Ovis aries: one gene and its partners. The protein of the gene in region 6 purifies or fractionates together with the protein of the main gene of each other region. This does not show direct contact. Links are inferred from orthologs where the notes say so. Each region holds a gene or a part of one and is shown on either strand. Other genes may lie near its edges.

Evidence for each region.
Region 1: the proteins of CSNK2B (region 6) and KAT6A purify together in Homo sapiens (affinity purification with mass spectrometry; 3 studies listed by BioGRID and IntAct, with this or other methods). This does not show direct contact. The link is inferred for Ovis aries from reciprocal best matches to the Homo sapiens genes CSNK2B and KAT6A.
Region 2: the proteins of CSNK2B (region 6) and NKAP purify together in Homo sapiens (co-immunoprecipitation; 3 studies listed by BioGRID and IntAct, counting the BioPlex papers as one, with this or other methods). This does not show direct contact. The link is inferred for Ovis aries from reciprocal best matches to the Homo sapiens genes CSNK2B and NKAP.
Region 3: the proteins of CSNK2B (region 6) and GPATCH2 purify together in Homo sapiens (co-immunoprecipitation; 3 studies listed by BioGRID and IntAct, with this or other methods). This does not show direct contact. The link is inferred for Ovis aries from reciprocal best matches to the Homo sapiens genes CSNK2B and GPATCH2.
Region 4: the proteins of CSNK2B (region 6) and CEP170 purify together in Homo sapiens (affinity purification with mass spectrometry; 3 studies listed by BioGRID and IntAct, with this or other methods). This does not show direct contact. The link is inferred for Ovis aries from reciprocal best matches to the Homo sapiens genes CSNK2B and CEP170.
Region 5: the proteins of CSNK2B (region 6) and ZNF687 purify together in Homo sapiens (co-immunoprecipitation; 3 studies listed by BioGRID and IntAct, with this or other methods). This does not show direct contact. The link is inferred for Ovis aries from reciprocal best matches to the Homo sapiens genes CSNK2B and ZNF687.
Region 7: the proteins of CSNK2B (region 6) and RPS6KA4 purify together in Homo sapiens (affinity purification with mass spectrometry; 3 studies listed by BioGRID and IntAct, with this or other methods). This does not show direct contact. The link is inferred for Ovis aries from reciprocal best matches to the Homo sapiens genes CSNK2B and RPS6KA4.

Annotation. Positions count from the first base shown.
Region 1 is NC_056079.1:36,183,158-36,185,932, forward strand, and holds part of KAT6A (histone acetyltransferase KAT6A), read right to left. Parts: coding exon 493-2,775; 3' UTR 1-492. UniProt on the Homo sapiens protein: Histone acetyltransferase that acetylates lysine residues in histone H3 and histone H4 (in vitro). Component of the MOZ/MORF complex which has a histone H3 acetyltransferase activity. May act as a transcriptional coactivator for RUNX1 and RUNX2.
Region 2 is NC_056080.1:114,588,889-114,592,928, forward strand, and holds the start of NKAP (NF-kappa-B-activating protein), read left to right. Parts: upstream 1-1,240; 5' UTR 1,241-1,363; coding exon 1,364-1,749; intron 1,750-4,040. UniProt on the Homo sapiens protein: Acts as a transcriptional repressor. Plays a role as a transcriptional corepressor of the Notch-mediated signaling required for T-cell development. Also involved in the TNF and IL-1 induced NF-kappa-B activation.
Region 3 is NC_056065.1:20,347,057-20,351,073, forward strand, and holds the start of GPATCH2 (G patch domain-containing protein 2), read right to left. Parts: upstream 2,801-4,017; 5' UTR 2,705-2,800; coding exon 2,649-2,704; intron 1-2,648. Other genes in the region: SPATA17 (spermatogenesis-associated protein 17), read left to right, coding at 3,122-3,189. UniProt on the Homo sapiens protein: Enhances the ATPase activity of DHX15 in vitro.
Region 4 is NC_056065.1:33,253,039-33,256,538, reverse strand, and holds part of CEP170 (centrosomal protein of 170 kDa), read right to left. Parts: intron 2,320-3,500; coding exon 484-2,319; intron 1-483.
Region 5 is NC_056054.1:101,198,050-101,201,149, reverse strand, and holds part of ZNF687 (zinc finger protein 687), read right to left. Parts: intron 2,967-3,100; 5' UTR 2,950-2,966; coding exon 844-2,949; intron 698-843; coding exon 519-697; intron 93-518; coding exon 1-92. UniProt on the Homo sapiens protein: May be involved in transcriptional regulation.
Region 6 is NC_056073.1:26,713,242-26,717,167, forward strand, and holds the start of CSNK2B (casein kinase II subunit beta), read right to left. Parts: upstream 2,801-3,926; 5' UTR 2,676-2,800; intron 2,076-2,675; 5' UTR 2,065-2,075; coding exon 1,993-2,064; exon of another isoform or gene 1,276-1,992; coding exon 1,173-1,275; exon of another isoform or gene 665-1,172; coding exon 549-664; exon of another isoform or gene 102-548; coding exon 26-101; exon of another isoform or gene 1-25. UniProt on the Homo sapiens protein: Regulatory subunit of casein kinase II/CK2.
Region 7 is NC_056074.1:39,108,489-39,110,705, reverse strand, and holds part of RPS6KA4 (ribosomal protein S6 kinase alpha-4), read right to left. Parts: intron 739-2,217; coding exon 565-738; intron 485-564; coding exon 290-484; intron 1-289. UniProt on the Homo sapiens protein: Serine/threonine-protein kinase that is required for the mitogen or stress-induced phosphorylation of the transcription factors CREB1 and ATF1 and for the regulation of the transcription factor RELA, and that contributes to gene activation by histone phosphorylation and functions in the regulation of inflammatory genes.

The DNA of each region.
Region 1 (2,775 bases), on a different chromosome or scaffold from region 6:
GCTGGAATGAAGTAGGGAATGAAAGGCTGGGTGTGGAGGAAAAGGGTCTGGCTAACCCTCGAGATGTATAAGTAACATTTAAAAATGACGACACTGGGAGCTGCAAACACTTGAGGGGAAACATACATTTTAAAATAAAATAAAGATAATTCACTTTTACACAAATTCTGTCCATGTGGCGTGTAAAGAAAGTAAGGCTCTTTTTAATTATGAAAAGATTTCTGTGCATGTTTCCCCTATCCCCAAATCCGTTTTTAGATGAGTTCTATTGTAAAATGTTCAAGATTGTGAAGAAAACCAAAACCCAGAACAAAATGAACCCCCCCAAAAAAAGACCAGGTTTTCTAAAAAATAAAATAAACCAAAGAAAAATTCCTCTAAATCTACAGCAATATTTTAACTGGAAAAAAGGTCCATTTTTCTCTGGTTTGTCAGTATAAAAGGTTCCTTTATTTATATATATTTAGGTTCTGAACTGCAAGTCCGTCTTGCTCATCTTCTCATGTAAGGTCCGTTGAGCGACTGCTTGGGCACGCCCGCCGCGTTCATGTAGCTGTGATGGGAGGGGCCCGTGTACATCACGTTTCCGTGCGGGCTCGGCTGCATAGGCTGCTGGGGGTAGGCCTGGCCCCCCATCACCCCCATCTGCATCTGCATAGGATACTGTGCTGTCTGGTTCATGTAGGCCGGGTTACTATGGTAACTGCTGTTCATCATGGGCTGGGTCATTCGATAGCTGTTCATGGCGTTCAGGGTGTTCATATTCATGGAATTGACATTATAGGCAGGGGTGGGCATCAAGTTCACCCCCATGTTCATGCCACGCTGCACGGCCAAGGCACGCGGGCCGGCCTGCATGGCGACCGCGGGCGGGCTGCGGCCGTACAGCTGCTGCTGGTGAGCCGCCGCGGAGGGCAGGGGCGCCGACTTGGAGCGGATGGAGATGTGCCCCTTGACGGGCATCTGCCCTTGCAGCCGCTGAGTGTGGGGAATGCCAATGTTGGTGGCAGACATGTTGCACTGCAGCAGAGGGGACGTGAGGTTCATGGTGGTGGAGGCCAAGTTCGGGGGCGGCGTCATGGTGGCTTGTGCTTGAGGGGTCCCCGCTAAGGGATGCGATGGAGCCAGCTGAGCCAGTCCCGTGTTGGACAGAGAAACACTGGTTGCATAGGAAGTCACAGCAGGAGAATGGCTATAAGGCATGGCATGGGGGTCCATAATGGTGTTGGTCAGCTGCTGCAACTTGGCTAGACTGAAGGTGGCCGACGGCTGGGAGTAGCTGCCGGCCCCAAAGTCCCCGGGGATCCGCTCGTAGATGCTGATGTTCCCCGCGCTGCCGGACTCGGGGATCTCCATGATCATGGGCGCCGGAGTGAAGCTGTTGTTCATGCTGCACTGTGACAGCGGGGGCTGCTGCTGGGGCGGGGGCGGGGGCTGTGGCTGCTGGGGCGGGGGCGGGGGCGGGGGCGGCGGCTGGGCCGGTGGTGGGGGCGGGGCCGGCGGCTGAGGCTGTGGCGGGGGCTGCTGCGACGGCTGGGGTGGCGGCGGCTGCTGCGTGCTGGGAGGCCTCTCGACCGCACAGCTCTGCGGGGACTTGATGCCGCAGTTGGCGGCGGGCGGCACGCTGCTCTGCGGCATCAGGCTGCAGCCGCCGCCCATGCCAGCCATCTGCTGGGTGACCACACAGCTGTTCTGGGTGAGGCTGCTGGAGGACGACAGGCCGTAGGAGCAGCTGCTCTGGGACGAGCTATTCCCACAGATGCTGCCGCCCATGGTGGAGTCGTAGCTGCTGGGGTTCTCGTAGTTCTCCGTGGTGCTCTCGATGCTGCCCAGGTCACTGAAGCCGCTGTCCACCACCTGCTGGGAGTGGTCGGATACGGAAGGCACGTCCATCATGGGGCTGGTCTCCATGTTCTGCATAGACGGGGCGGACAGGGATCCTTGCTCCGGGCTGATCTGCGTGTAGCCCCCTTCGAGGGCGGGCACGCTGGGGCTGCTGACCGAGCGCACTGACTGACTGGGGTGGGACTGGACGGAGGACAGCGGGCTGTTGTGCTCCGAGGCGTGGCAGTCCTCCACCAGGGCCAGCGGAGGGTCCTCCTCGGCCTGCGTGTAGCTCTGCAGCGTCTGGCAGGCGGCCAGCGTCTCCTCGCAGTCCTGGTAGGCGCCCTCGTGCTCGCCGCGCTCCTCCTGCGTCAGGGACTGCACGGCCTGCACCGTCTCCAGGTCCAGCTCGCTGTGTGGGATCTCCTCCTCCTCCTTTAGCTCCAGTAGCTCCTCCTTCGAGCGCGAGTCCTCCTCGCGGTCGTCCTCAGAGCCCGGCATGTGCTCGGACACCACGGATGCCTCGTGTGAAGTCTGCTCCTCCTCAGAATCTGGCTCCATCTCCTCCTTGTCTTTCGGGTTCTCCCCGCTGCCCTGCACGTTAGGATCTAAAAAAGCCTCCCGGCCGCCTGGCTCCTCCTTGACGCCCTCCCGCGCCGGCGGCTCCCCTGGCTCCTCCTCCTTCTTGGCGGGCTCCAGGTGGCCGTCGTCCTCATCATCCGCGTCGTGGTCTTCGCTCTGGTTGGTCTCCGCAGCCGTGTCCTCCTCCTCCTCGGGCTCCCGCCTGGCCAGCTCCTGCGGCGCCTCCTCCGACGGCCGCTGCTCTGCGGGGACGCGGAGCTTTTCCTCCTCCTCACCGGCCTCGGGCTCCTTGGCTTCGGCCTCGGGGCTGCTGGCGTCGGCGGGAGAGGCTGCCCTGACGTCACTGCTGGTGGTGTCCTCCTCCTCCCC
Region 2 (4,040 bases), on a different chromosome or scaffold from region 6:
ACTATGTCAAAGCCTTTGACTGTGTGGATCACAATAAACTGTGGAAAATTCTGAGAGAGATGGGAATGCCAGACCACCTGACCTGCCTCTTGAGAAATCTGTATGCAGGTCAGGAAGCAACAGTTAAAACTGGACATGGAACAACAGACTGGTTCCAAATAGGAAAAGGAGTACATCAAGGCTGTATGTTGTCACCCCGCTTATTTAACTTATATGCAGAGTACATCATGAGAAACGCTGAAGCTGGAATCAAGATTGCCAGGAGAAATATCAATAACCTCAGATATGCAGATGACACCATCCTTATGGCAGAAAGTGAAGAGGAACTAAAAAGCCTCTTGATGAAAGTGAAAGAGGAGAGTGAAAAAGTTGGCTTAAAGCTCAACATTCAGAAAACGAAGATCATGGCATCTGGTCCCATCACTTCATGGGAAATAGACGGGGAAACAGTGGAAACAGTGGCTGACTTTATTTTGGGGGGCTCCAAAATCACTGCAGATGGTGATTGCAGCCATGAAATTAAAAGACTCTTACTCCTTGGAAGAAAAGTTATGACCAACCTAGATCGCATATTCAAAAGCAGAGACATTACTTTGCCGACTAAGGTCTGTCTAGTCAAGGCTATGGTTTTTCCAGTAGTCACGTATGGATGTGAGGGTTGGACTGTGAAGAAGGCTGAGCACCGAAGAATTGATGCGTTTGAACTGTGGTGTTGGAGAAGACTCTTGAGAGTCCCTTGGACTGCAAGGAGATCCAATCAGTCCATCCTAAAGGAGATCAGCCCTGGGATTTCTTTTGGAAGGAATGATGCTAAAGCTGAAACTCCAGTACTTTGGCCACCTCATGTGAAGAGTTGACTCATTGGAAAAGACTCTGATGCTGAGAGGGACTGGGGGCAGGAGGAGAAGGGGACGACGGAGGATGAGATGGCTGGATGGCATCACTGACTCGATGGACGTGAGTCTGAGTGAACTCCGGGAGTTGGTGATGGACAGAGAGGCCTGGCATGCTGCGATTCATGGGGTCGCAAAGAGTCGGACACGACTGAGCGACTGAACTGAACTGAACTGAACTGAACATGTAGATCTTAGAATTGAGCAGCCTCATTCGGAACCCGAAGGATGAGGGAACCTTGTTGCCCCACCGGCTTCCTTACACGGCTACACACATCCCGTTCCTGAGTCAGTAGGACCGCCTAGGTCTGGGGAAGGAATTTGCCGACGTACCCGGAACTGTTTCCAAGGTTTCCTCGGGTTCTGGCGGAGGTACGGCTGCCGGTCCTGGGAGCCAAGGCAACGGAGAATTTTCCCAGGCTCGCGCGAGCGCCCCCTTCACCCACGGATTCAGGGACCCAGCAATAGCGATGGCTCCGGTGTCTGGCTCCCGCAGCCCGGAGTGGGAGGCCTCGAGCTCCGGGGGGAAGCGTCGCAGTTCTTCGAAGAGCCCTAAGCCTAGCAAATCCTCTCGCTCCCCGCGCGGCCGCCGCTCTCGCTCGCGCTCTTGCTCTCGGTCCGGGGACCGGAATGGCCTCAGCCATCAGCTGACTGGCTCCAGCCAAGGCTCCCGAAACCAGTCCTACCGTTCGCGCTCGCGATCACGCTCTCGAGAGCGGCCCTCCGCACCGCGCGGCGCCCCTTTCGCTTCTGCCTCCTCGTCTGCCTATTATGGCGGCTACTCACGCCCCTACGGGAGCGACAAGCCGTGGCCTAGCCTCCTGGACAAGGAGAGGGAGGAGAGCTTGCGGCAGAAGTGAGTGAGACGAACGCACTTTCTTTCGCAAGCCCACCAGCCTTTAGAGTCCGATTTATCGTTCATTTCGCACCCGACTGTTTGCATTTCGCTCTCTCCCTGACTTGCGCGCGTTTTCATCCTTTCTGTCAGTCCACCCACGATGACGCCTTATTCATCCCTTTCCATCGTTAGGTTTTTCCGCTCATCCTCCGGCCCCTTCATCTAATGCCTTGGTCTCCCTCCCGCTACCCCTTCCAGCCTCCTGGCTTGTTGCGGGCATGGTCAAGAGCCTCGGACCTGCCGGAATTACAGCATTTACTTGGTTGTGTCGTTGTCATTAGTGATCACGTTTTCATTCCCCAGTAGACTGAGCCCTTGGAAGAGCCCAGATTATTGATCACAAAATTTACAGTGCAGAGCACTTTGTAGGTGCGCAACCATTGCTTGCTGAATGATCAAACAGGTTTGAGACAATAGGATAAGTGAGTGGAGTTGTTTTGCAGCGACTTGGGAAAGGTTGAGATATAAGGTTTAAATTGGAGGGGAGGGGAACCTCTGAAACAAGATGACTAAATGTAGGGAAAAAATGATGTGTAGGAAAAAATTATCTGTTAAACTGTAAGGTTGGACTACATTGAGAAAGATCTTAAGCGGTCTCAATCTTCAGCATGAAAAATGAGGTCAGATTGACATCAGATCTTCTTTAATGACTGAGTATTGGAGAGGAAGATGAATAGTTTAAGGGGAAAGGAAAATAATTATAATTACTGTTTTGTAAGCTTTATTTTTTTTTACTTAAAAGAATTGAAGTATAGTAGATATATAGTGTTTTTAAGTTACCAGTGTACAATAATATAGTGATTCACTATTTTTAAAGGTTATACTTCATTTATAGCAGTTATGTGCTTTGTAATTCTTAATATCTAATGCTTATTGAGTGTTAAATTGTGTGTCAGACACTGTACTGATCATACTGTATGTGTTTAAAAATAAAAAAAAAATTTAAAAGTGTAACAGGCATTGAGGGGCAGGTTAAGGTTTCAACAATTGGGAGATAGCTTGAGTCTTTTTCTTCCAAAAGTGGGGGCCACTAAAGTCTAGTGATTAAGAGAACAGGCTCCAGAATCAGACTGCCTGAGTCTGAAGCCCTCCTTTGTTGCTTAATACTTGTGTGACCTTGGGCAAGTTATTTAACCTCTCTTAGTTTCATTTCTTCACCATGTAAAAGGGAAAAATTAGTACAAAAGCTTTTTAGAGATGTAATGATTTAGTGCCTGGAACACAATAAATTGCTCTTAAGTGTTAGCTGTTAGTATTTTGTGCATGGGAACAGAAACAGTAAAAACAGTCCTAAAATAGATTGGAGACTGACTTCTCCAAATTAAAATTTCCAGAAGGTAACCCCCAGGCTGTGTCCATCAAAAAGCATCCAGTTTCCATGCTAGACATTCCTTACCAAAAGATGTCAGAATTCCTTGGATGAAATTTTCGTTTGTACATTTAGGAAGTAAATAATTTTAAAGTATCCACGAAGTTGGGTGGCAGGAGGGATAAGAACTTTACTGCTTGGTCTTTTTAGCCTGTCAAGCATTCTTCATCCTGTATGTATGTATTCAAAGTTTAGCTATAAGTATGTCCTCTATTAGATTTTATGTTACTTCAAGTAGGAAACCGGAGTCTAACTCTGCACAATTATACCTTTTCCCCTGAATAAGGAAGAAAAAAATATTTTGTTTTAAAAAATCAAAAAGGATTTTATTTCTTTAATAAGGTTCTTCTTTTAAACAAGTGGAGTCACAGCAGCTGAAGTTTGAAGAAGTAAACCTTAGTTTTTGTTGTGTATTTGTGTGTTTATAAGGAATATCAAACATTAAGAAATCACATGTTTGGGAATGCATGTAAGAATTAAAGATTTTAAAATTAAAAAAATAAAAAAGAAATCACAAACATAAAACAAAATAATTTTGTTTTCCAAGGGTAGATAGAGAATTTACTCCTTTTTGAAAAAAAAATTAGGGGAAAAACAGAAAACAAACGCTATATCTCATTAAGTAAAGTTTTGTCAAAACTTTTCTTTTACTTTCAAAGGTCCCTTTATTTTCTACTTCTAATGCTTCATTTTTATTTTCTTCATTAATTCCTGACTTTTTGAAAACGAAGGTTTGACCTTGTCAGGAGTAGAGAATTCTCTTTACTTTCATAAGGATACATAAACAAATGAAGTTATTTCCAAATGTAAGACCATTTTTGTCACATATTGCAGAAGATGAAATGAGCAATTGGGAGCTGTGTGATGCATGTACTAGAAA
Region 3 (4,017 bases), on a different chromosome or scaffold from region 6:
CCTTGTGATATGGTATCTCATTCAGATGCACAGGCAGTACAGCAGGATAACTAAGAAATTTTTTTTAGATATACTGGAAGTGTCCCTCCTCCAGGGAATCTTCCTAACCCAGGGATCGAACCCAGGTCTCCTGTATTGTAGGCGGATTCTTTTTACCAGCTCAGTCACAAGGGAAGCCCAGATATACTAGAATCATACTGCAAATATGATGCTTGGCTAAGTTAATAATACTTAAACAATATCTGCTCCTGTCTTGCCATCTCTAAAATGCAAAGAATAACAGCACCTATTTCAAAAGATTTATTGGGTTGACCAAAAAGTTTGTCCAGGTTTTTCCTAACACTGTAGAAAAATGCCCAAACAAACTTCTCGGCAACCCAATACATGAGATGACATATATACACAAAAGCTGGCACCAATTACCTACACCGACTAAGTAGCATCCTGACTGGCACTGAGATGTCATCACTGGGACAAAACTCACATGTTTAGTACAGTCAATGTCTGATGAATGAATGAAAAAGAAAATTCCATTAAGAAAGTCTGAATAACAAGATGGTTGCACAGATAAACTAGAAAATATAGGATCCAAATTTCTGGAACACTCACTGTCAAATCAGGCATAATTCAAGAATTTTATTCAAAACACTAATAACATGCTAGGCACTATATTATACTCTGATGCCGTAAGAAAGGACGTAGTTCATCTCAAGAAAAATAGAGAACTGAAAGAAAGTTCTCTATATCACAAAAAGGATGTGTGTGTGTGTGTGTGTGTGTATGTGTGTGTTTGTGTGTTCAGTCATGTCTGACTCTTGGTGACACCTTGGGACTATAGCCCCCCAGGCTCCTCTGTCCATGGAATTTTCCAGGCAAAAGTACTGGAGTAGGTTGCAATTTCCCACTCCAAAGGGATCTTCCCTTACAAAGAGGGACCTAACCATGATTTGGATAGGAGGAGGAAGAGGAGTTTAAGCAGTCATATTTTCCCATTAAACTGTCATCTATCCTACAAATCAGTAATCACTACAGCAAGAGCAGACCAATCTATACGGCACATTTTGTCTCCCCTTCTTAAAAAGATGCTGAATGGTGAAACATTAAGAAAGGTAATCTGGAGAGGGACTCGTGCTTGGGATGATGGAAACGTCTTATATCTTGCTTTGTGTTGTGGTCACACAGTATATACAACTGCCAAAACTAAAAATACTAAACACTTAAGAACTATGCGTTTTATTTTATGCTAATTACCATTAAAATAAAATGCTCTTTAAAAAAAAAAAGTGCTCCTTATTTTTCTCACAGGAAAATGTATTAAAAAGGAGCATAACCAAGATAATAATTTCCTGTGCTATACCTTGTATCCTTGTTGCTTATCTACTGTGTACACAGTAGCTTGTATCTCAATCTCATACCCCTAATCTGCCCCATTTCCATTATTTTGTAATAATGTTTAATGAAGTACAATCTGTAAAAATACTGAATCACAGTGTTGAACACCTAAAACTTATACAATATTGTAAATTAACTATATTTCAACTAAAAAAAAAAAGTCAAAGGAGCATAACCAAGTCTTTTCATTATAAAAACAACTACAGAACGATCTGATCTCATTCAAAACATTTTAAGCAACATATTCTTTATTCAATGATAGATGATGCAAAAGAACTTCTTGGAGATCACTAACTACTAGAATCCCTCAGATTCTCATTTGCTGCAGAATCTAGGAATGGACTGACACATTTCAGCTGCATTTCACCTGTTGTTCAACTTTATGGTTTGAGAACGTCATTGGAAATTTTGTTTGTGTCACTGCTTGTCTTGGAGGAAAACGTCTTGTGAGAAAAACAGGAGTAGAAATAGTTTTCAACTAGGAATCCAAAACCCAACTTCCAGCTCTAGGGCTAAAGCCTGCATGGCAACACTGAACAAGTCCCTTAACCATTCTGTGCCTGTGATAATCTCCTATCACAGGCCCTTCATAAGGATAAAACGTAGCAATTTGTTAAAGAACTTTGCCAAGTCAAAGCAGCTTATTATTCTAAAGTGGTTTAGCGGTATAATACTGCAGTCGAACCCTAAATTTAACCCTGACATTTTAAGTTCTCAGGGGACATCCCATGCACATCTCATCTGAACTAGAATGGAAGGTTCAAGGGACAGAAACTGGTAGGTTACACCTACTCCAAAAGAGGGGGCGTAGGAAGGCAGTCTCCTCCACTTCTAAACTTCCAGAAGTCTAGATTTCTGGGAATTGATCTTCGAAAACACCTGGTACAATCTTGCAAATTTAAAAAGGAAAATGAGGAAATAATGCCTATAGTAAGATAGATTCTTCTGTAATCCTCGTCTTGTCAACAGTCAACGAAGAAATGAATTGCTCCGGGCGTACAGAAAGCTTTCCTCCTACATTATTGTGGCGTAGTAGACAAGCAATCAGCAAGCATTGACTGTATTCCTTCGCAAATCTTTAGCACACACTTCCACGCCTTCCTTAAACTGCGTCCATCCCAGGAACGAAAAGAGAGCAAGGCCTAAAGGTCTTCAGATCATCCATCACAACTCCCTCCCCCTTCCATTCCAGGTCCAGCGGCCCCCGGCCATCACACCCTTTCCGGATCGCCCATCCCCAGGGCGGCCAGCCTCACCAGCTGTTCCCGGCGGCTGGAGCTCCGATCGGTTGGCGCCCGGCGGCCCCGAACATTAACGACACCCAAGAGCCTGGCCTCGAGGCTCAGGCCCGAGAACAGACTCCAACTACCGCACCACCAGCGACTTCCCAGGAGCAGTTCAGCATTTTGAGCCGAGCTTCCGGAAGCCGACAGCAGGCGGAAAACGGAAGCTGGGAGCAACCATTAGTTCCCCTCCCCACCTCCACTGCTTCTTTCTCTGAAAATCTCCTCTTTTTTCCTCAGAGAAGGGAGAGGGGTCAATAATTTGAAATCTTTAATTATCAACGTTTCTTAGTTTTTCTTTCTGGTGTTTCGGACACTGAAAGAGTGTGGGAGGAAAAAAATGTGAAGTCAACGAAAGTTGAATCCCCGAGATCTGGGTAATGGTTTAGCCCGGTTGCCTAGGAGACCGAGAGTAACTCCGGAGGTGCAGCGGGCGAGCGGAGGCTATGGCCACGTTAGCCAGGCTGCAAGCCCGGTCGAAGAGTATAGCACAGCAGTATTACTACAGGAACAGGTAGGGTATCAATTAGGGGAGCGCGAAAAGGCCTGGCTTCACCCCCAGCCCGTTACTCCTCAGCAGGAACGTCCTGTGAATTCATTTCCTAACTCACTGAGTACCCCTCACTTCTCTTCCTCGTTGGTAGTCTGCAAACAGAATCACGAATTTTTGAAAGTAGTGTTAGCAAACAGGGGGATTCCCGATGCAGGGGGCCACGGTTATCATCTGGAGATAATTTAAGTAAAATTCCAGTAGAAATAAAATTGTACAATAAGTGCTTTCCTTTGGCATCATCACGCCACAATGGGATGAAACCTGTGTCCTCTTATGGAAAGTTTGATGGCCTCACTGGGCTCACCCTGTCTCCTTAGGTGGGTGAGCTCGGAGTGTCCCCCATCTACCTCCATTATGTCACGAATGTCGCTGAACTCAACTGTTCTATGACTCACTTGTCTTCCCAGAGTGGCAGTATGTAAACTATTCTGACAAGATAATACCAATTTGTTAAGAGGGCTGAAGAAGACACTGGCGGCCCTATCCATCTCTACACCTAAGCATCCTACAAAAGGTTCATTTGAACAGTGGTCTTCTGGACGCAATGCCTCAGGACATTTTCTAAGCTAAGAGAAGTTCCAAAAAAGTGAAAAGGACATTGGTAGAATATAGTGACACACCAGACCAATAGAAAATATGCCAAGAAGACAGTCTTGCTGAGCTGTTCTTATTCTAACATTTATCTCCTCTGCTACATTCTTGGGCTTCCCTTGTAGCTCAGCTGGTAAAGAATACACCTGCAATGCGGGAGACCTGCGTTCGATCCCTGGGTAGGAAAGAAGTCTTGGC
Region 4 (3,500 bases), on a different chromosome or scaffold from region 6:
ATATCTCACCAAGTAGACAATTAAAATTCTCAAATTGGTTCAATATACTTCAAATTTTGAATTCACTATTTTGTACCAGGACTTTAAATGGAAGTGTATATAACTTCTGAATTTTCCTCCTGGTGGCCCAGAAGGTAAAAAATCTACCTGTATTGCAGGAGACCCGAGTTTGATCCCTGGGTCAGGAAATCCCCTGGAGAAGGGAACGGCAACCCACTCCAGTATTCTTGCCTGGAGAATTCTATGGATAGAGGAGCCTGGTGGGCTACAGTCCATGGGATCGCAGAGAGTTGGACACAACTGAGCAACTGACACTTTCACTTCACTTTCAAGCTAACTAAGGTGACTTTTTAAGGAACAAAACCCTCTACAGTATGATCTTTCTGCTGAAAATTTTGGGAATCGACACTAACAATTTTTCAAAGAAGAAGTCCCAAAACATAAAAGAAATACACTAATATAAAAAGTCTGGATCCAATTTACCTGAAGGAGAGCCATGTGCTGAGGTCATACTTTTGACCTTGGAGTCGGATAGTCGAGAGATACTGTTAGCTCTAATTCTAGGAGAAAATTTATCTGAAGGTACTAATCTGGCTCCACTTCTAATGATGGCTTCTGCGGTCCGTGAAGAGGCACTACTTCTAGAGATCGTTGCTTCAGAGTCACTGCGAGCCGATAATGAGCCAAGCCTTGTTCTACGAGGCTGAGCCAACAAATCAATCCTAGAAATGTTACGCCTTCCTGTGGGAGGTTTGGATGTCGAACTTGTTGTGGACACTTCAGAAGCAACAGATGCTTTGTCAGCATCAGCAAGTTCACTGTCCGAAGCTTCACCGAGTCGGGCTCTGCGCAAGAGGGAAGTCCTGGTAGGTCGTGGCCTTGGTAGAGTGGTGGATTTACTGGACGAACCAGGTGCTCCAGGAGAAGTCTTGGATTTAGTTACTTTACTTCCTTCTAGTTTGGAATGTGCGTGCTCATCAGTTGAGGTAAGTGGAGTCCTTCCATGAGATTTACAAGAGTAAGTTTCCTGGTCAGATGACATAACATCAGAGATGGCCGAGTGAGGTACACTAGAGGTTTGGTCATCATCTGTTAAATCTACTGAAGGCTGCCTTATTCTTCCACTGGACTGCACAAATTTACGACCCTCTGCCCGAGAACCTATATCTGCAGAACGACTTTTTGTTTTTTTTTCAATTTTCTCCCTAGCACCCGACGATGACGACTTTGTAACATCTTTGGAAGGAGAACCTGTGGAACACCTATCTTTATAGAGACTAGTGAAACTCTTTCGCTTTTGGGTTGACTTTCTTTCAGTCTCTCCAGTAACCAGACTGATGGTACTAGCTGTGTCCACATCAGATTCGGGTGAAATGGAGTTGTCTCTGTTATAACTGGGAGTATCTGGGCCTTCATCAGTTTTAGTATCTTCACGCAGTTTAGCTTCTAGAAAAGCCATTACTGCTTCTGTGTCTTTTAGAATAAGGGTCGTGTCCATACTAGAATCAGTATCCATAGAATCACTTCTTTCTCTTATTCTGCTGGCTGTTGTTAATGCTAAGGAAGGGGGTGTTGATAAAGGCTGTTTATTTATATGGGGGATAAGTTCTATGGGTATGTTGGGGCTAGGTTTTTCTATAGTGAAGCTTCCTTGTCGCACTAACGACTTGGAGGATTCCTTCTTGTCTCCTCCCTTTGAGGTCTGACTTTTCAGAATTTCCTCAGCTTTTCTTCTCTTACCCTCATTTTGTATTGCTCTTTCTCCTTTGCCTGCAGAAAGTCCTGGAATTTTTTCTTGAGGCTGTGACTCCTGCTTAAAAGACTCCTCCCTACATCTATCTATCTGACCCGCAATGGTTTTTGAAGAAGATAATTTAGTAGGTGTCCACTGTGCCTGTTCCTTTTGTTCTTGTTGCTGGATTTTAGCTAATGTTTGCTTTACCAAAGAAGCTTCCTTATCAGTTTCACTTTTCTCCTTCCCAGAGTAAGAGCTGCCTAAGTGAAGCAGGGCTTTACTATCTCCACCATTTTTAAGAGTCTCACCATTTACTGCCCTGTTCATTTTACTCAAGGCTCTGTCAGTGTCTTGTTTATCTTTCTGGTATACCTGGGCAGGTGCTTCTTTCTCCTGAAGCTCCGTGTCTTGCTTTTCTCCTATCTCTGACCTCTGTGCTATAACCTTTGTTCTGGAGCTCTCAAGAGACTTTTCTTCACTTGGAAGCTGGGGAAGGGTTCGTCTCCTTCTCTCTCCCTGACTAGCCAAGGAAGCTGCTGAGCCAGTACTTCTCAGTGAAATGCCAGATTCACTGATGTCTGTATCTATAAAAGAAAACAACAAAAAAGGAACTTACTGGGGCAAAAATGTGAAAATAAAACAAATGTCATATTACCTTAGATTTTGAAGTTAAGAAATGGCTTAAGTATAAAGTAAAACTTTGAAGAAATAAGCCAACATTTTGACAGTATAATTGAAAAAGAAAATGCAACACTGAGATGCACAAATAGGAGAGCAAATTTTATGAGATGAAAATTAGGGTCATCTTATCTTAAACCTACATCTGTTGCTCTCTTTTTCTTTTAATGTCATTAATGGAAGAGAAGTTCACATTCTTGCTTTTGTGACTTGTCCCATCTGTGAATTTCACTCACAAAAAATGGACTCTGCATAGTATATACAGAAGTGTAAAAATAATGTCTAATAAACAGTTTATATGCTATACTTTGAATTACATAGTAAAGAATAATAATATACCTAAATTTTAACAAGCATATTATCTACTGAAACAATGACAAGTCTGGATTTCCTAATAAAACAGAAAACGTAGAACTTTAACAATGTTTTCTCTTTATTTAATTTTTTTTAAACAATGTTTTCTAAAAGAAAAAATTCAAAGTTAATTAAAAGATTTTTAATAATTGTAAGAAAGGAAAAAGGTGACAGGACTTGTCATAATTTCACAAACTGAGTTATTTTTAAATTATGATCTTCTGGTATATTAAAGCCTCAAACTGAGAAGTTGATGGGAAAATATAAAACTTCAACGTTTCCATGTGAGAGACTTTGAGAATATTACTTAAGGAGTACTTTCCTGTTTATAAATGAAATGTATTTCTGAGAAAAGGGATCTTTTTAGGGAAATATAAATTGACATATAAAGCATTTAAACCTTTTGGGTATAAGTGGAAAAAAGATACTAGATATAGCTTCTGTGGTCATCCCTTTATAATTCTAAAATTTTAGCATCTAAATTTCATAGCTATACTACGGCTATAATGTAGAAAAATACTTAATGACTTACTAATGTAACTTTAATTTAGCAAATGATCGTGTTATTTGGTTATGTCTTATCTCCACAGTACTACTTGAAGCACTAAACTTATTTAGTTATAGCTATTTTATCTTTTTGTACTTTTCTAGCATTTCTCACACTGTCCTGGCTCGTAACACACACTCAATGAATATTTGACAAGAACATTTTAAGTAGATTTATCAGCTTATC
Region 5 (3,100 bases), on a different chromosome or scaffold from region 6:
TGGGGCACTTGTGGAAAACCTCGCAGTGTGACGTCTGGATGTGGGACTTGATGGAGTTCACACCCCCAAACACCACTGCACAGCTGGGGCACCTTGGGGAGAAAGTCAGAGGCACGGTGGTGAGTGGGGGGCGTCCCTGCAGCCACCCCCAACCCCACACTCATTCTCGGGGACCGGGTGGCCTGAGAAGTTAATCGGCAGTGGAACATGAGCAAGCGGAGGAAGGAAGGAGCCACAGGACCCGGTCCCGGAGGGCAGGCCTGCGGAGGTAGAGCTGGTGCTCCAGAGGTGGCCCTGCTCGCCCGCTCCATGGGGCCCGCCTGCTCCGTGGGGCCCGCCCGCTCCATGGGGAGCGACGGAAAGGCAGGGAGCTCAGGCTGCACTCGCCAACACAGCATGGCTGCGTGATTCAGCAGGAGAGACGGGCTCGCCTTCTAAAAGGCTGGTCCCAGGAGCCACGAGACCATCAAGTACAGGAGGAAAAGTGTCGACATATGGGGAGGAGGTGTGGGAGGCACCTGTATCCTACGCGGCGAGAGAAATGTAGGCAGGCCTCCCGGAGATGGGTCTGAAAATTGGCTTGCAGAAAGTTGCCCCCACACTCAGGACAGACGTGGGGAGGCCGGTTCTTATGCATGCGCTGGTGGGCGCTGAAGCTGCAGCGGTTGGGAAGCATCATGGGGCAGGTTGGGCATACCTGTCGAGGGGGTCGAAACAAGGTGAGTCTGTGAGGAAGGCCCTGTCCCCCTTTCCTTCTAACCAAGCCCCCACACCTTCCTAGACCCTGTCCCCATGGCACCTGGCTGTCCCCTTCCCAGGGAGGGGCTGTGAAAGGCAACTCACGTTGCTGGTGGCCCCAGGGGCAGGGGGCCCGAGCTGCTGGAAGTGGGCAGCCATGCCAGCCTTGTCGCGGCACTGCTCCTTGCACTCCAGGCAGCGGAAGCACGTGTAGGTAGAGGTGGCAGGGGTGGCGGGTGGCTCCGTTGAGAGTGGCAGCACGGGGGCCTCGGCGGCAACTGCAGTAACGGCGGATGTGGTGACGGCCCCTTCACCCTTGCCCAAGGCGGGCAAGGCTGGAGGTCCGAGGGCAGGTGGGACAGCCAGCAGGGGCGTGATGTCCGGCTGCCCCACCATCTGGTCCAGGGCCACCGGCCTCATGACCAGGTGTGAGCACTGCATGACGAGCCCCTTGTCCTTGTGCTCACGGGCATGCAGAAGCAGGCTGCACTTGTTGAAGAAGACCAGGCGGCGGGCGCAGTGATTGCAGGTGACCTCAATGCGCATGCTCCGGCGGTCATAGTGTCTCGCCAGGCTCTTCTCCAATGAGAAGGCATCCCCACACTCGAGGCAGCGGTAGCCTGTGGGTGGCAGGGCCAGCCCGGCCTCAGCCGGCGGACTCAGGTTCGGCCGGTAGGCAGGCAGCAGGTTCTTGCTGTTGAGGATCTTGTTGAAGGCCTCCACCAGGCTGGACTGGGTCCGTGAGATCACCGTGCCACCTGCTGCCCCCGGCCCAGTGGCCGGCTTAGAAGGCTGCACCATTACCACCGAGGCGCCATTCACCTTCTGCCCCCCTGTCCCCAGCCCTGTCCTCCCCTCAGCCTTGGGCAGGGCTTGGGGCACCAGACCCAGCACATTCTTAGGCATCATCTTAGGGCTGGTGGCAGTGCCCCCAGGCAGAACCACCGCTTTGCGGGCCACGCTGGCAGCCATCAGCATGGCAGTACTTGCATTCTGAATGGTGGCCACAGGCAGCACAGTGCCCTTGAGCCTTGTGCCATCACCCAGTTGGACACTCACCACCTTCGGACCCTCGGGGGCTGGGGTTGCTGGGGACAACTTCAGGAGGTTAGCCTCCGCCAGGAAGCCCCCCTCAGCCAAGGGGGTAGGGGGATCAGGGTCTGAGGGGACCCGGGTTACGGTCCTTGTGATATTTCCGCAGGATGTTTTAATGGTCTTGATCCGCACCTTGAGAGGCCGAGAGGAGCTGGAGGCAGGGGAGTCATTGCTGTCCTCATCCGCAGCCTCAGCTCCACTGGAGGGACTCTGGGGACTTCCCGGGGAAGACTTGTCTACTGGTCCCTCATCCTCCTCTTCCTTCAGGGGCTGACAGCTGGGCTCTTTAGGGGAGGCAAGAGGGCTCTGGTGCCCCGGAGACTTCTTGAAGAAGGACACCCCTGCCACCTGGGAAGGGGAGGCACTGGCAGGGACTCCCGTGGCCTCAGGGCTAGCGCCTGAGCCTGGCTGGGAGAGGCTCTGGGGATGAAGAGGGCTGCAGCTTTCCTGCTTCAAGGCCCCCAGCAGTGGGGGAGAAGAAGGGGGCAGCAAGGCTGAGCCATTCTCCCGGGTCAGCTCAAAGGGAGAGGGGAAAGCAGGTGGGGTCAGGGCCCCTTCCCGAGGTGGGGAGGGCGCAGAGGGAGGAAGGGGATCAGGGTGCTCCCCTGGCTCAGGCCCAAAATGAGCAAACAGATCCAGTGGAGCTTTGCCTTCCAGGGACTTTTCTTTCCAGGTACCCCCACTAGGAGGAGCTGGAGAGCGTGGGGTTCCTGGAAGGGATGGCTCAGGGCCCCCAAAACCATTCTGCATCAGCCGAGATCCCAGAGGGCCTTCCTTCGTCACTCCCCCCGCCCGGGCCCCTTCCCCTCCTGAACTCCCAGCCAGGGACTCTGACTGCTCAGGACACACAGTGTTCTTGACGATGACGCTGACTGCTGAGACGTCCGGCGGTGGCAGGCTATGGTCAGAGGCCTGGGTGGGCCCCCCAGGGCCATCCCTGGCAGGAGCTGCTGTTGCTTCTCCAGATTCACCTCCTACACTGGGTTCAGGCTTCCCAGAGCCTCCTGGCCCCTCATTTTCTTCTGGCCCAGAATGGATGGCTTCATTTGCATCAATGTCAGGGATGTCAAAGGCAGCAAGGAGGTCATCAAAATCAGGGGTCTTCATGTCCCCCATGGCAATTGGTCCCAGACCTGGGGAGAACAGGGTTAAAAGTGAGAAACAGAGATGTCTGAAAGCAGGAACTCTGGACCTCCTCCCTCAGGATCTCTATATACATTCCCTCTCAGAAGCCCATGCACACTAACGGGTACACCTCCATCATAGT
Region 6 (3,926 bases):
CTCCTTTCCCTTTCCCAACACTCACCGATGGGAAGCATTGGCTGGTTCTCACAGTACACACGGGGACAGTATCCAAAGTCTCCCTGCTGGTACTTTTCCAACTGATGTGAATGAAATTGAAGGAGTTGGTGGGTAGGTATGAAGAAAAGAGGCAACCCCCTCCTCAGCCCAATCCACATCACTGTGTCCCCAACTCCTTCTGCCTCTTAATGTCCAGAGGCCCCTTCTCTGGCTCAGATGGGCCTTCAGACTCCCCTGCTTCCTTTCATCCAGTCAGGCAGTCTGAAGATCATCAGACATTCACTGCTTATTCCCTGAGGAAGAGGCAGTCTACAACTTTCTGCTCTAGGTCACATCTCCCTCCCCCAAAACACTCCCTTCACCTCAACCCTCAATCAGGTCTTAACCCCTAGGCCCAGATTCTGGGGTTCTTTCCCCTCTTCTCAGCTAGATTCCGTGACAAGGCTGAAACGAGTGACTTCTTGCTGATGGAAACTCTGCTTCCCTGTTGCCTCTGAAGGAACCGAGTAGGAGTAGAGAGGCCTCACCATCTGGGCGATGCCACGGTTGGTGAGGATATAGCGGGCGTGGATCAATCCATAGAGCATTTCGGCTGCTTGCTCAATCAGGTCACTCTGGTTGGGGTTGTCTTCCAGCTCCTCATCTGAAACATGGCACCAGCCAAATGCAACCACTTGTCTTACAACTTTTTAAGGTGCCCTGCCTACTCCCAGGGGCTGCTGGCTCTTCAGCCCAGCACCCAACTTGGAGCCTCACCCCACCCACAGCCTGGGCCTCTGCCCCTTCCACCAACCCAAGGGTTTCTTTCCATCCCTCTCAGCCTCTGCTTCCTTCTCTTTTTTAATAAATAAATGCAAAGATGTCAACACAGAAGATAGAACTCTAACCTGGAAGGGGCAAGGAAGAAGATAACACCCATGGAGAAACTAGCATTTTCGATAAGTGCTAAGTTATAGGATCAGAGTATGAGAACAAGTGTAGAAGTCACAAAATTAGGCAAGAGTGAGGTATGGAATCAAAATGAAGTAAAGGATTTGGGGTTAAAAGGGTTAGAGAACCAAAAGGAAATTTAGAAATTCATGAAGCAGATAAACAAGGTGTGAATAGGAAAAAAACAGCACACACACAAAACAACCCTGAGGGTGTCTCACCAGGCTCCAGGTCCAAGATCATGTCTAAAGCTTGTCGATAGTGAGGCACCTGTTCATTGAGTCCAGTGAGATTGAATTTGTCCTGGATATAGTCTTCATCCACCTGTCAGGACGTGAAGTCAAAAGGAAACCCAAAGCAGAATCCTCAGCTTTGACCTGGGCAGGGTGCTCTAACTCGTGCCTTATCTTCAACACAACTGCTTCATTCCCTTTGTTCCACACTCCCAACTCAGCAGAAGTACTTGAACCTCTCTCCCTAGTTCGTGTATACTGCCCACCCAGAAGAGGTCTGGCTTTTTTCTCCTAAACATAAGCAATCCCCTCCTTACAGAGGCAGTCCTTTCAAGATCCCTGTCCTGATTCCTGTTCCTAGCTCTAGGAATCAGTTTTGGCCTCTCCTGAGGGGCAGCTGGCTCTCTGAGGAAGGTGGGGGCTGAACAGCTTGGATTCTGAAGTCAGTTACACTCCCTTATGTTAACACACAGCCATGCTATAAAACATTTTAACGTGAAGTGTTTTAATTCTCCTAATAGCTACCAGAAATACATACTATCAGTACTTCCCTGGTAAAAAAAAAAAAAAAAAAAAAAAACAACACAGGTTGACAAGTCCAACATTAGGCTGTTGGAGGGTGGCAGGGTTGACTTGGGGTCTCAGTCTTGACCCTTCACCACAAGTTAGAGAGCGCTACTAAGGAGACTCCTCCTTGACAAGAGTTTTTACTAAAGTATGTAAGAGAAGTGTGTGGAAGCTTTATGTGCAGGAGATTATGTGGCCAGATTACATGTGGAGGTGGATGGTAGGGTTGAGGAGAACTCACCTCACAGAAGAATTCATTGCCACGGAGCCCACAGAACCAAGAAATCCAGGACACCTCCTCTGAGCTGCTCATCTTCACGTCGGCTAGAGACAGAAGAGTATAAGCCTAAGCTCTCCCTCCCAACCTCTGGTATCCTCACTCCTCCCACACTTTGCCCTCAAACCATGGAAGAATTTGGGGCTACCCTTTTCTTAAAGAACCCGAGACTGGAGCACGTCTCTCTAGCTCCTCTTATTTACATTCCAGCCCCTTTTCACTGAGATTACATAGAGAAATTCTTCGGGGTCCACCAGCTGTGAGAAACCGACAGGTCTTGACCCCACTAGTCCTACCTCCATCCCTGACGCTCCTGAAAGCCAGGCCCCTCTCTCCTCCGTGTCAACTCCGGTAGGGCCGTGGCTCAAGCTCCCTACCCCCGCAAGTCTCTGGCCCCATTCTCAAGGGTTCCGAAGTTTATCCTTTCCAAGCAAGAGCTGGGCCCTCCTTTTCTCATGGCCTATAGGTGGTGGTCAGGTCCGTTTCATAGAAGTCCCGACATCCCGCCTCCACCCTTCGGGCCACCTCTCCTACCCTCGGTGCCGGACCGGGTCATTTCCTTTCCCACCCCCACATCAAGACGCGGAGACCCCATGTGCCGCGCCCAGGGACAGGGGACATGGCGCGGCGACGACCACCACACTCACCGACTGGACGGGGACTGGGACCGGGGGACGGGGAGGGGAAGGGGAGTTTCTGCTTCCAAAGACCGCGACGACGGCTACAACGCAGGCCGCGGACCCGACCGCGGCAGGCGAAGTGGGGTGGGGGGAGTGGAAACTGGGGAGGGTGGGGAAGAGGGCAACGCGCAAGTGCTTAGAGTTAGGAGCCGCGGTGCATGCCGGGAAATGGAGTCCTTGGGAAGAAGAAACTGACGAAACTAGGGAAAAGCGAACTACAAATCCCAGGATGACCCGCGCACGACCCTGGTGTCACGAGGCCCCGGGGGAGGGGTACGCTGGGGGCGGGGCGCAGCAGGGCACTGCGAGCCGCCACCGGAAGCGGAAACTCAGTACCGCGTTCTGGGCCAGGTAGCCTGGGAAATATAGTCGTGTGATTCCGGGGACTGCAGGGCCATGGAGGGGAGGGGGTGGGCCGGGAGAGGAACTAGGCTGGCTGGTTGCTTCTTGCTTCTCCCATCAAACAGCGAGCCTCAGGCCTCGGCGAGACTTTGCTGCCCGGGGCATTGACCTCATCCCCAGCCAGCCAGCCCTCCTGGCCCTTATTGCCTTGCTCCTTGGAGTCAGCCCGCCAAGGAGACCCGCGACGGGGCCCTTGTTTCATCCGGGGTTCGCGCAGCGGAGGCGGGAGGTGAGGCCGGGTTCCATGCTGAGGGTCCTGGGTAGGGTGTACTGGGATGAGCTGAGCGGTGTGAGAACCAGGACGGCCCCGTGGGCTAACCTGAGGTGGTGCCAGCCATTCTGCTGCTTGTCCCCTTGCACTTCTCCATTTCCTCTTAGGGCTTGAACGGGGCTGCTGTGGGCGCTAAATGCGACCTTCGAACCCTGGTCAGAGTAATGGTGAGGGGCTGCGTGACGTTATTTCATTTCAGGGTTTCTGGGCATTCTCCGCCTCAGAGCCTTTTTTAACCCTGAGAGTGATTTCCCAGGTCCAGAAAATGAGCTCGGAGCGGGGGCCACGTTGAGGGAGGAGGCGAAGGGCATTGTGGGGGCGTTATGTAAAAACAGAACCCCAACCGACGGATCTTTCTCAGTCCTCGCGCTGCCCCGGCACGTGGTGCGTTGTGCTTCTGCTATGGAAACATTCCAGGGCGGGAAAAACCCGGCGCTAGCGCGCGCCTGCACCCTCAGGTGTTTTGTTTTGTTTTGTTTTGTTTCCCCGGCCACGCATGCGTCTTTGTGCCCTGTGATTATTTGTCGACTCCTTTGCTTAGAGTA
Region 7 (2,217 bases), on a different chromosome or scaffold from region 6:
AGGTGAAAAGTGAGACCAGCCCAGACTAGGGGCCAATGGAGGCCAGGAGACTGATTCAACCCACCACAGGACCATGCACTGTCTCCAAGAGGCTAACTCCTGAGGTCCATGGGTGATGGACTCTACCCCTCAAACTAGGGTGCCCAGACCCCAGCACCAGAGCGACCCCGCCTATGTATCAGGACATCTTATCCCAGCCTCAGACCAAATCCTGCCACCCCCACCAAGAGGACTGCTGTCCCCAGGCTCGGAGGACCCTGACATCCGCTCAGAGAGGCCGTCCCCATACCAGAATAACGCCGAGGCTCCAGAGGTCGCAGGACTCGTCGTAGCCCTGCTGGGCCAGCAGCTCGGGGGCGGCGTACTGCAGCGTGAAGCAGGGAGTCTGCATGGGCCCCGCGGGGCTCTGCGGGCGCAGGCGCGCGAACCCGAAGTCGATGATCTTCACCGGGGCCCCGGGCGTGTCATCGGCGTACAGGATGTTCTACGAGGGAGGCGAGGCGGCCGTCAGAACCCGGCCCTCCGCGCCGAGGCCCTCCCGATGCGCTGAGGCCGTGCGCTCACCTCGGGCTTCAGGTCGCGGTGCACTACGCCCGCCTCCTCGTGCATGAAGCTCACTGCCGACACGAGGCTGCGCAGGATCTGGCTCGCCTCGGACTCGCTGAAGTGCCGCTTCTTGCGGATGTGCTCCAGCAGCTCCCCGCCCTGCAGGAGCTCCAGGACCAGGTACGTGTGCAGCTGCGGGCAGCGTGACGGGCCGGGGTCACCGCCTACTGAGACCCCGCCCGCCCGCCGGATCCCGCCCTGAGGTCACCATCGAGCCCCGCCCCCAGTTTCAGGCTCCTACCACATTCAAACCTGACCTCAAGACTATCACCACGCCCCTCCAAGAACCATCTTAGGACTCGCTTGCCGTTCTACCCCGTACTGTTCCTTCCCAGTGGCGCTAGTGGTAAAGAACCCGCCTGCCAATGCAAGCGAGGTAACAGATGCCGGTTGGATCCCTGGGTGGGGAAAATCCCCTGGAGAAGGGCATGGCAGTCCACTCCAATGTTCTTGGGCCTGAGAATCCTATGGACAGAGGACGTGGCTGGCTTCGGTCCACAGGGTCGCAAAGAGTTGGACATGACTGAAGCGACTTAGCAGCAGCAGCAGTCCCTTTGGCCACCTTGAAGTTCAGTTCAGTCCCTCAGTCGTGTCCGACTCTTTGTGACCCCATGGACTGCAGCACTACCAGGCTTCCCTGTCCATCACCAACTCCTGCAGTCTGCTCAAACTCATGTCCATCAAATCAGTGATGCCATCCAACCATCTCATCCTCTGTCCTTCCCTTCTCCCCTTGCCTTCAATCTTTCCAGCATCAGGGTCTTTTCCAATGAGTCACTTCTTCGAATCAGGTAGCCAAAGGATTGGAACTTCAGCTTCAGCATCAGTCTTTCCAATGAATATTCAGGACTGATTTCCTTTAGGATTGACAAGTTTGATCTCCTTGCAGTCCAAGGGACTCTGAAGAGTCTTCTCCAACACCATAGTTCAAAAGCATCAACTCTTCGGTGCTCAGCTTTCTTTATAGTCCAACTCTCACATCCATACATTACTACTGGAAAAATCATAGCTTTAACTAGATGGACCTTTGTCAGCAAAGTAATATCTGCTTTTTAATATGCTGTCTAGGTTTGTCGTAGCTTTTCTTCCAAGGAGCAAGCGTCTGTTAATTTCATGGCTGCAGTCACCATCTGCAGTGATTTTGGAGCCCAAGAAAATAAAGTCTGTCACTGTTTCCATTGTTTCCCCATCTATGTGCCATGAAGTGATGGGACCCGATGCCATTATCTTCATTTTTTGAATGTTGAGTTTTAAGCCTGCTTTTTTCACTCTCCTCTTTCACTTTCATGAAGAGGCTCCTCAGTTTTCGCTTTCTGCCATAAGGGTGGTATTATCTGCATATCTGAGGTTATTGATATTTCTCCCAGCAATCCTGATTCCAGCTTGTGCTTCATCCAGCCCGCATTTTGCATGATGTACTCTGCATATAAGTTAAATAAACAGGATGACAATATATAGCTTTGATGTACTCCTTTCCCAATTTGGAACCAGTCCGTTGTTCCATGTCCGATTCTGTTGTTTCTTGACCTGCATACAGATTTCTCAGGAGGCAGGTAAGGTGGTTTGGTACTCCCCTCTCTGTTGTGGCCACCTTAAAACCCACCCGCAAAA